3 linked regions of the Danio rerio genome follow. The protein of the gene in region 3 interacts with the protein of the main gene of each other region in a pairwise test. Links are inferred from orthologs where the notes say so. Each region holds a gene or a part of one and is shown on either strand. Other genes may lie near its edges. The genes, in order: shc1, ptpn11b and igf1ra.

What was found.
Region 1: the proteins of igf1ra (region 3) and shc1 interact in a two-hybrid assay, tested with the Homo sapiens proteins (4 studies listed by BioGRID and IntAct). The link is inferred for Danio rerio from reciprocal best matches to the Homo sapiens genes IGF1R and SHC1.
Region 2: the proteins of igf1ra (region 3) and ptpn11b interact in binary tests that used the Homo sapiens proteins (3 or more experiments, as listed by UniProt). The link is inferred for Danio rerio from reciprocal best matches to the Homo sapiens genes IGF1R and PTPN11.

The regions. Positions count from the first base shown.
Region 1 is NC_133191.1:24,126,416-24,130,584, reverse strand, and holds the start of shc1 (SHC-transforming protein 1), read left to right. Parts: upstream 1-1,307; 5' UTR 1,308-1,657; coding exon 1,658-2,251; intron 2,252-4,169. UniProt on the Homo sapiens protein: Signaling adapter that couples activated growth factor receptors to signaling pathways. Participates in a signaling cascade initiated by activated KIT and KITLG/SCF.
Region 2 is NC_133198.1:26,921,088-26,924,745, forward strand, and holds part of ptpn11b (tyrosine-protein phosphatase non-receptor type 11b), read left to right. Parts: coding exon 1-72; intron 73-187; coding exon 188-267; intron 268-405; coding exon 406-561; intron 562-1,967; coding exon 1,968-2,099; intron 2,100-2,784; coding exon 2,785-2,939; intron 2,940-3,658. UniProt on the Homo sapiens protein: Acts downstream of various receptor and cytoplasmic protein tyrosine kinases to participate in the signal transduction from the cell surface to the nucleus. Positively regulates MAPK signal transduction pathway. Dephosphorylates GAB1, ARHGAP35 and EGFR.
Region 3 is NC_133193.1:22,311,093-22,314,750, forward strand, and holds part of igf1ra (insulin-like growth factor 1a receptor), read right to left. Parts: intron 1,257-3,658; coding exon 953-1,256; intron 1-952. UniProt on the Homo sapiens protein: Receptor tyrosine kinase which mediates actions of insulin-like growth factor 1 (IGF1). Binds IGF1 with high affinity and IGF2 and insulin (INS) with a lower affinity. The activated IGF1R is involved in cell growth and survival control.

The sequences.
Region 1 (4,169 bases), on a different chromosome or scaffold from region 3:
AGGTTTAATTATTAAAATAGGATGTGTATATAATCAAAATTGTGTTGTTTTCCTGAGTTTGTTAAATTAATACGCTAATTAGAAAAAAACGTAAGAGGCTCAGGTGTTTTTTTAATAGGCAAAAAGGAGTAACAGGACAGCCTGGAGAACGGGAAAGAAGACGTGGGAGGGGGCGCGGGGGAGCGAGAGATTATTTGGAAGAAGAGAGCCAGTGTGCTGGAGAGGGAGAGAGAACTGGAGAGGCAGAAGCTGGAGGAGGAGAGGAGGAACGCTGTGGGATACACTGTGTGGAGGCTGAGGGAGGGATTCCAGGAGAGGAAGGATAGAGAGGAGGATAAACTTAAAGGGACGAGCACAGAGGGTGCGAAAGCAGCGCAGCCAGAAGTGATTTGGAAAAGACGTGAGGAAGAGGAGGAGAAGGAAAGGGATAGAGCTCGGCTTGGCGACAGGGGTCACAAAATCATCTGGAGGAGGAGGGACAGAGAGTGACGGGAAAACATAGAGATCTGTCAGCACTAAGCACTCGCAGATATGTGACAGGAAGTGAGGTGGCAGATTTAGACTTACAGTATGAATAAGCCTGCATGTACTCTGATGTCTTGTATTTTAGGTAGTAGGTTGTGTACATCAGGGGTCTTCACATGGTTCTAGACCTCCTTTTGAGATGTTGCATGAAATTAAATAAGCCTAGTCAGTGATAGTTGTGTTCAAATATTAATAAACTTTGACAACTAAAACCCATTTAAATCATTATTATTAATATGCAGAGTCATATTTGCATGTTTCCTTTGTGACTGAAGGAAAAATTAAATATTTAGCTGCACTATTTTAACCTCAGTATGCATAGCAACAAATGGTTTGTTTCATGAGATGGCAACACAAGCCGTCATGGACCCCCATTGAAGATCCCTGCTGTATATCTTTTTAACACCTGAACTAAATTAAATCTCTAAAATTATGTTGATCTGCGCTGGTCAAGTCATCATTGAACGAATCATCATTAAATGATGCTCATTCTCTGGATCAGTACTTTAGCATTTTCCATCCATCTATTCCCGCTCTCTTCCTCTCTCACTCTATCGATCCGTCTGTCTGACGGAAGCCTTTTCTCTCAAAGTCTCAGCTGCAGCTAATAGGCTTTTTATGGGACTCTGTCAGACAAGAGATAGTAGATTGGAGCCCTACACATGCAAAGACAAATGAACACACACATAAACACACTCGCATGCATACCAAACACAACAGTACTCTTCTTCACACATCTACCTAGATGGATTGCGTCTAGAGCACTTATGTATAAATATACCAATAACTTCAAGACAATCGTACTATATTTAGTGATTCGTAGTGTCTGAGAAGCTCTATGCAGACTTAAGATCTGATGCAAAACCTTCTACAGGCTGTGTATGACAACAGCAGAAAACTTGATTACTTTTTTGCATCTGTCCTTTTGTCTCTTTTTACATCCTGTTTTTGATACTTTCCGGACTGAACAGTCAGCACACTGTCGTCTGTCTGGCGTGATGATGAAGGAATCGGTAGATGCAGAGAAAAAGAGGACTATAAAAGACAAGGAAAGACAAGTTATCGATTGCGACAGAGCGACGTGGAGAGACATTTAAGGACGTTTAGTGGACTCTGAGACGTCTTAGACATCATGGAGCTTGTCCCCAAAACTAAGTACACACCCTTTAGGAGTGACTCCTTCAGCTCAACAGACGAGACGGCGTCCAATCCTTCCCTTCCTTCTTCAGCTCCTCTCACCCCTCTCACCCCTCCTGGCATCCCTCCTTCTCTCTCCTCCTCCTCCCTCACCCCTATTCTGCCACCTTCTTCTCCACGGCAGGCTGAGAATAGCCCCACCACCTTATGCTCCTTCTTCCCCAGGATGGGAGCCCTGAGGCTGGGTGTGTCTTCCACTCTGCTCCCAGGCTTAAAGGCCTCCAGCAGGCCAGCAAATGTGCCTGGTAGCCAGGGAGGTTTGGGAGAGTCCTCGGAAGACACAGGGACCGTCAACTCTTCTCCTCCTCGTCTTCTTCCTCTTCTTTCTCTAACAGCCCCATCTCCTCCTCCTCGTCCCCCACAGGATATGAACCGGCTGGGCGGGGCCTCACGGAGGGCCCGTGTGGAAGGGGGCCAGCTCGGCGGAGATGAGTGGACACGGCATGGCTCCTTTGTCAACAAGCCTACCCGAGGCTGGCTGCACTCGGACATTGTGGTCAGCACCAGCGGAGTCTCCTACACTGTCAGGGTAAGATTCAATTCATTTCAAGTGTTTGTATGGAGCTTTTCCCAACAAGTATCATTCCAATGCCGCTTTACAAAATGTGTACATTATTGAACAAAATAAAGCCATATCCAAGAACTGGTTGCCCATGAAGTTAAGCAGGGCTGCCCATGGTCAGCATCTATATAAGAGATCTCCTGAAAATTCTAGATTGCTTCTAGAACTGTTGATACTGAGGCCAGTAAGGCTGCTCTGTGAGGGTTTTATTGCCATTGAAGGATGGGGACACTGTATTGTAAGTAGTGCTATTCTTTGGCTAAAATCAAGGTCCTTGTGGTCTGTGGTCATTAAAACTCCTCGTAGAGAGTAAAGGATGGCCAAAATCCCTCCATTGGCACTTATAAATCATGGCCTCAGTTTAATAATTCCCTCGAGTGAACTGACTCTATAACTCTCTCCTATCCATGTATAGCTATTGTGTGGTGAGCCCACTTGCACCATTGCATCAGCCCAGGTGGATGCTACACATTGTTGGTGGTTAAGAACGATCCCTGAGATGATTGAAAACACCAATACACATGCTAAAATTAGCATAAAATGCTATCCATCTCTAGCAAAGCCAAAATAGCATACGACATGCTAGCAGTATGGCAAAATGTACTAGCATTATGTTTAATTAGTCTAGCATTGTGTTGAAACATTCTATTAGCAAGTTAAACATGGCGTCATAGTATTAATGCAGAGGGTGATAGAGGGTGATAGCAAGTCTACTAACATGCTAACAATGTTAGCACATAGCAAGCACCCAGAATACCACAACAAATGGCTAGCAATGCCTTTTAGCCACAGAATGCCATAGCCTCTTTAAATGTTCATTTTTAGCCTACTTATTTAAAACTACTCCCTCAAATTGCCTGATAAGACTTTTTAAACTCAGGGTGCTTTCACACCTACACTTTTGTTTCGGAACGTATCCTGTTAGCCCAGTTAGTGCGGTTCGATTGGCATATGTGAACAGGGCTCTGTTCCGCGCCAAAGTAATCGCTCCGAGATCGCTTGAATGAGGTGGGCTCGGCTCGATTGAAACGAACCCTGGAAGAAGAGAGAATTATGAGTATGGCGGGAAGTTTCGCGAGTCTCCGGATGCCCGCAAATGAGAGATGATCTCCCGGTAATCTCGCGTCACCCCTCCCCACCGCGTCTCTCCTCAGACACGTCGTGCGCGCGCACCCTGTCAATCACCACCTCTCCTGACAGCTTAGCGGGACGCTGCAAAATAAACCCTGACACTCTGACCAATGTGAGGAGAGTTTACTCGCATGTGACTTTTAGCTCTTTTGGTCCGATTAGAAACTTTGCAGTGTGAAAGCGAACCGCTCCAAGAGCAAAGAGCAACAATGTAACATTTGTAATCTTTGTTTCGGAACAACTGAATCGATTCACAGGTGTGAAAGCACCCTCAGAGTCAATGTTTGTCATGTCTTTATTACGTCTTTATACTTCCTGTGCAATGGACATGATATGTACCTTTAATTAGGCATCCTGCAGTGGTAGACAGTAAAGCAGACAAAGAAATCTCATACATTTCAATAGAACAAGGGACCAGTTATATCTGAGGTACAGAACACAGAGAGACTTGGACCACCCAGCGGTACAAAACACCATAGAAAACCTTCACCTTAGCCCTAACTCTTGTTCTGCACATTCATGTGAAGGTGTAGGGGTGTCCCATGTCTCTTTAGTCTGAAGCCATATGGTTAGACAGCCCTTTAAACAGATATTTTCACAGAATACAGCAGCTAAAATGGCAACATGGCTGCACACGCAAATAAAAAGATGCATGAATTAATATTGTTTGCCATTAAGATGTTAGATAAGACATTACAAATTTTTTTACTAAGAATTTTACAACAAACAAGCACGTTTAATATATTCATAACGG
Region 2 (3,658 bases), on a different chromosome or scaffold from region 3:
TCCTTTACCCCAGGAAAGAGGGGCAGAGACCAGAAAATAAAAACAAGAACAGATATAAGAATATACTACCATGTGAGTAACGTGCTGTATTTTTCTGGTTTCTTAATGGGAGAGGCATGTTTCATAATGCAACGGTTAATCTCCAGGGCTCTTGTTCATGCTTTGATCATCATTTTCTGGGTTGCAGTTGACACCACTCGAGTGCAGATCAAGGAAGCGGATCCTGATGTTCCCGGATCCGATTACATCAACGCTAACTATATCCGAGTAAGACCCCGCTTCGCTCGTAATGATTACACGTCAATCTGAATGTCAAGCTTTTGCTGGGTTGTTGAGCTGTGATCAATAAGTTTAGAGATTGCATGTTCTTTTTATCCTTATTGATTTTGTTCTTTTTTCATTTAGAGCGTGAATGAAGAAGGACGTCATATGGATGAAGGTAAAGTGTTCATCGCTACTCAGGGCTGCCTTCAGAACACAGTCCTGGACTTCTGGAAAATGGTTTATCAGGAAAATACACATGTTATTGTCATGACAACCAAGGAGATGGAGAGAGGACGGGTAAGGTCCAGGATGAAAATATTGTACATTCATTCATTCATTCATTCATTCATTCATTCATTCATTCGATCGTTCATTAATACATTTATATTTATATTATATTATATTATATTATATTATATTATATTATATTATATTATATTATATTATATTATATTATATTATTTTATATTATATTATATTATATTATATTATATTATATTATATTATTTTATTTTATTTTTTGTCATATTATGTTATATTGTTTGTCATGGGATACATAGAATATAAGAAAATAAACAATTTGTTATAAAAAAAAATATTTTTTATGCTCTTAATTATATTTCCTTAATTATTTGTGATAATAAAAGTAATTTATATTTTTGGGGGGAGAAATTCATTCAGAATTCATATCAGTTTTAAATACACTGACCATAAAACTGCTAAATGATGACAATCTTGATTCAATTACCCATACAATTATATATTCCAGCCACAATGATTTGGTTTTATTTATTAAACATCTGACGAGTGCAATCCCAGTTGGCATAAAATTATGAAACAGCGTCAGTCTTTGGTCTCTTCAACCTTATGGTATGATTATTAGTCAAATTATTGCAGAAGTATTGGGATTAAAGTTTTGATGTAACCACTATTGAATATTGCACAGCAAAATAGACATTCATATTTTTTAAAGTAACACTATTTTATAAATAATGTTTATCAATTACAGTGTTACGCCAAAAGGTGGTGATAAGTTACTATTAAAAATGCATTTGTCATTGACTTATTTATTCAAGAGAGTCATTCAAAAGGGCTGATTCATCCAGTAATGAAACAAGTGAGGTCTATATAAGCCAGTGATTAAATCAACCTTTCAAACCGATGGGAATTAATTAAATTAACATTGTGTCCAAATCTCTAGTATATTACATGTCATTTTGTTGAAGTCCACCAAAAAAATTAAGTTTCCTCCTTATTTACTCGTACTTAATTGATTATGAACTTTAATGAATTTCTTTTTTTCTGTTAAACACAAAGCAAGATATTATGAAGAATTTTGCAAAAAAGCAACCATTGACATCTATAGTAGGAACAAAAAACACTATGAAAGTCAATTGTTGTGTTTTCCAACATTTTTTATTATAGATTCTCTTGTGTTCATCAGAAAAATGGAGGATGACTAAATAATGGCAAAATTAAAATTTTGGGATCTATTTGGGAACTTTTTAACTTTTCCTTTAATTTGTCAATTCAGAATCGTGGATGAAACATGATTATTATTTTGAACAAAAATGTGATTCTTCTTATATACCAAAAATTTCTAATGCATAATTTGAGAAAATTGAGAATCCACTAATGTTGTATAGCTAAATAGACAACACAGATTTTTTTTTGGGAACTAAACATTGAACTTCTCCCTATAGAATAAATGTGTGCGGTACTGGCCAGACTTGAATTCAACAAAGGAGTTTGGGAAGGTGTGTGTGAAGAACATTGAGGAACACACAGCTCAGGACTACATACGGCGAGAGCTTGAAGTCACACGTCTAGACAGGGTAAGAGCAATGCGATGACAGATGACATGCTGCAGCCAGAGGCAGTTCATAACCTTTGACCTTGTTGTTTACAGTAGCAGCTTGGAGAGAATCTTCTCACTTACTTCAAACCTGTATTACTTTACATTACTAATCTAGGTTGGATGTAGTTTTTCTCATTTTGTAAATTATCATTTGATGTTTCTTTTTTTTTTTTTTTTGTAATTCACTCAGGACTTACTCATTCATATTCATTGAAAGGGGAAGAGAAACCTATTTGTGACCTGTGTACGAATATTTAGACCATAAAACATGTTTTAATAGAAGGTACTGTATATTTTCAAGTTATATTAGAGAACGTTTTTTTAAGGGAAACTTTTAAAAAGATGTCTCCTTTTTCTATTTTACCCTATTTATCATTGGTCAAAATGAAAGAACTCTCATGACTTTTAATCAGTGTGATATCTATATGTTTTTATATAATGCATGTTTGTTTAGAAACAGTTATGATTGTAAATTATAAACTTAATATTCAATTCCAATGTTGACATAGACATACTGCTGATATGGCATAAATAAATAAATAAATAAATACATACATACATATATACATACATATATACATACATACATACATACATACATACATACATACATACATACATACATACATACATGCATACATAAATACTTTTTGTAATTACAGAGAGAGCCTCCCAGGTGTATCTGGCACTATCAGTACCTGAGTTGGCCTGATCACGGTGTTCCAAATGAACCTGGAGGAGTGTTGAGCTTCCTGGAGCAAGTGAACCGAACCCAGAGCGCCATTCCAGAGAGCGGACCCATAGTGGTTCACTGCAGGTACTACACAGCTCACACGTTCTACTTAGATTTATTTAATTATTTTGCTAAATGTGGTCTTAAAGGCACAGTTCTCCCCCCTTCCCCCATAAAAAAATCCAATACTTATTCCCTGTGATGTCCTTCAAATGCTATATGCTATTTATGCTATTAGTTTCTTTTGCCAAACACAAAAAGAGAATTCTAATGAAAAGTCCATTCATTCATTTATTCATTTTCTGAAAACTCCATTCATTCATTTGCCTTAAAAATGTAGCTATTTTAAAAACCCATTAGTTTATTTAAAGGTCATACTCAAATAAACACTAGAATAGATGTTTTTTCTGATGTAATTAAATCTAAATTATGCTTCAAACATTTGATTTTAAAACACTATCAATGACTGAAAACCAAAAAATACAAAAAAAAAATCTTTAGATTCTTATTCACTCTGTCACTTCCGTCATTGGTATTTATTTTCAGCTGTCTGCTGCACTATATGTTCACCTTTGTGGTCGGTCTAGCCGGCGCAATAGCCACATTAGTAATAGCACATACTAGGAAGGTGGGTATCAGGGTTGCCAGGTTTTTGCAATAAAACCCAATGCCCATCCAAAATACCCCAAAACTAGCCTGATGGCCAATCAAAAATATCCCAATATCATAAGTCAAAACTTGCCATCGCCCATTTGTAAAATAAATGTTGTACAGGTACATCACTGTATGGATTATACATGGTT
Region 3 (3,658 bases):
GGCCTGGGTTTTGAATATTTAATAGTACAAATAAATCTCAGTCTAAACCTTCTGCTCGTAGATTCTAATACAACAGTATAAATAAAAATGTCACATTAATAATTTCTTATGTTTTTCAAAACTCCAAAAAAAGAAGCTACATTTAATTTTTTACATAAGCTGCGTCCGAAATCGCATACTTCCATACTATGTAGTATGCTTAAAACAGTATGCGAGGCAAATAGTATGTCTTAATTGATAGCATTCAAAAAACAGTATGTGAGAAGTTCCCAGATGACCTACTACAGGTGAGATTCTGAAGTGCGCATCAGTTGGACACTATGCTCATCCCTGTCAACCCTCCCGTTTTTCCCAGGATTCTCCCGTGTTCTATCTCGCTATTATCCTGTAAAGGTATTTTCCTGTATTTCTACCGTATTTTGAGTGTTTCTCTGAAGAGTGTTTGTGTGTGTGTTTTGGTGGTGGGGGGTGAGGTCATGGGGTTAGGGTCCCTTATAATGGTGGGTATATCCCTTATTTTTACATCCCAATGTTGACAGGTATGGCTATGCTATCCCATGATGCATCGCGAGCGAATTCATGAACAGGAGTGAAGCGACGACACTGCCATGGGTAGGTCACGTGATGATGATAAAATGGCGAATGTAGTACGCCTACGTTTTTAGGCGCATTCCAAGTAGCATAAATAAGCACTATTCTATGCCATTTTGTAGTAAAAACAGCGTAAGTAATGCGTTCACACTGAGAACCCCCCCTCCTCAAAAAAGTGCACTTTAAATACCCAGATGATGCACTTATTCAACCGGTAAAATGAAATGTGTAATGATGGACACTTCACGCACTCAACAACCCCTGCTGTTTTCTGTGTTTAAATGGCACGGCAGCATCACTATATACAGTAAAGGAAACACTACTGACACCGGCATCTAATAAGGCATTTCTAGTGTCGTACCTCTGAGTCTCATTTCGGGTGAATCCGGGTGGACAGTCCGGCATACACTCTCCATTGTGAATGACGAAGTCCACCTCGCTGGGTAGGTGAACACGGGCACACATCTCCATAGTGATGCAGCGCCATCCTTCAAACTTGTAGGTATCTGGCGGGCAGGCCTCGACACATCGGTCCTCGTGAAAGTAATGCTGGCAGGCGGCGCATGCTTTATCATTGTCTGCTTCCGTACAGCTGCCCAGGCACTGGGGGTGACAACACTGGCCCGCATCCGTGCACGCTCTCTTCTCACACTCCTTAGGACACACTGGAAAAGAAGAACACAAATAAAGAGAACACGTCAGTTGCTGTTACAAAAGAAATGTCAGTTTTAGTATACAAGGAAACATCCTAAAATTAACATTTTTAAAAACCTCCTGAGGCGTAAACCAGATAAAAGTCAGTTATACTGTAAGATTAGTAATTTATTAAGCAATTTAGGAACTTGTATAAGAGAAAAACTGTCATGTACGGAAGGCCATCAGGGTCAAAAGTTTGATTGCCAGCATGCAGTACGATCATGTAGACAAGCACAACGGCCAATGAAATTCCAGTATTTGACAAATTTCCATATGTGATGCAAAAATACAGTCCTTCTGAATACATGTACAAAATTTCAGATATTGATTCATCTGCAAATATCAGCTGGTATAACTGCATTTCTATGCATTTTTTCAGCATTAATCGATATCGCAGTATGCAAATCTGCAAGTTACATCGCAGGATCTATGCATTTAATTACTGAATAGCTGTACCTCAATATTGTTAGACTCACAATGGTCCCAATGTATTTCCTGTTTTACATTTTTAATTTTTATTTCTTCTAGAAATCCAAAAAGAGTCGCATATTGATAAATAATGTTATGATAACTGTTTTAACATGAGGTTATGATTGAACAGGTCACTCCTAAAAAACTTGTTACAGTTATACAATAGTTTGATAACAAGCAAGAAAATGTTTATGGGCCAATGGCATCACCATATTGAATTGGTCCATTGTTTTCATCCGTGCTTTAATTTGTTTATTTGATACATTTTTGGACTTTTAAAAGGTATTTTATGCAGATCCACTCCCCTACAATATGATCCCAATCTATGTACAATAATGAATTGAATACAAATTGAGTTTTTAAATATTTTGATAAATTACATTCATATCGCAATATATATTGCAGAAAAAGTAAATATTGCAATGTAATTTTATGTATCGTGCAGCCCTAACAAACACTAAAGAAACATTCAAAATAACATTAACATAGTCAAAACATGCATGTTGACATGAATTTTAATGTTACATTTATGATATGTTATGGTACGGTTCGGTACGCTTTTATGGCCATTTCTACAGTCAAAAGGTACCAAAAACCTAGAAGTACCGTACCACTTTTTGGGTACCCTTTTAAAAGGGTACTTAGCACAACAAAAGAGTAACAAAAGGCGAAGTGAGACACACAGCTTAGCGATATTGGTTTAAAGAGATACGTCTCTAGCTCATGCACAAGCCAGAAGAATGAAAACAAAGAAAGTGCCATTTTTAAATACACAACCAAGACATTACATATATACATGTAATAACAAGCCATGGTCAACACGAGTATTTATGTGTATAAAGCATCTGTTTTGCGAGAAGTGCTTCTCATATGATATATGAACAACCTATACAGCTTTACTTAGACATTTCATACCACTGGTACCCTTTTAGCAGTGGAAATGCAAGCCTGATAAAGGTGACCCGTAACATACTGTACTGTACCACTCAGTGTAAACGGGCCGTTAAAGACTTTTGGCATTAATGGCCTTCCATATTGCATACACTACACGTGTTTTGTTCTGATAGCTTTATTAACACTGAATGCTTATTCTAGGACATGCGTAGAAAACTAAGTACAATTTGGGTTTATATGTCTGTGTGTGTGTTGCTAGCTATTGGATTAGTTGATTATAAAATAATAATGGCTGGGGTATACAGTTATGAAGCAGAGTACAGAGGAGAAGAAGGAAGCCCAGTGTGAAGTCAGGATGCAGGGGTTTTGGCCTGGCGCTGTTGTGTGCCAGTCTTATTAGTAAACTGCAGCTCTGGACTCTCTACAGCTAAATATTATTACTGTTTGATACTGTTGAGGGAATTTAGATGGCGGAGAGGAGGGGGAGAGGACGAGCAGAGCGAGAAATGAAGCCAAAAAGTCTAGCAAGCAGATGGACTGCAGTTTGGACTATTAGCCTGGGAAGCATCTAGTCGGGCCAGGCCCAACGAGAAGCCACGGTCCATCTGTGGCAGGCTTAAACTGAGCTGGAATGTGTCATGATGAGAAACACCAGCTAACAGTTACACAACAGTCCTCAGATTTGATTGGCTGTGTGGCAGTCCATAAGTGCTGATTTACAGTGCAAAAGCAAAAGGACTCGTGACTGTCATTCTGTGCGTCAGTGTGATTTTCAGTGACTCTGAATATTACAACTTTACACCAGTAGACGTGATACGTGATTGGTGAGTCAATGAAGCAACACATTTTCAGGTGATCTGTTCAATTAACAAATCAAGGAACTATAATCATGAGGAAGTCATTGAATCATTTACCGTACGATCATACCGAAAGCGGCAAGAGTGAAAAAGTAGCCGGAAGTCATTCATTTTCAATGAAAGCCGGCGGCGATAAGCGGCGAGGAGCA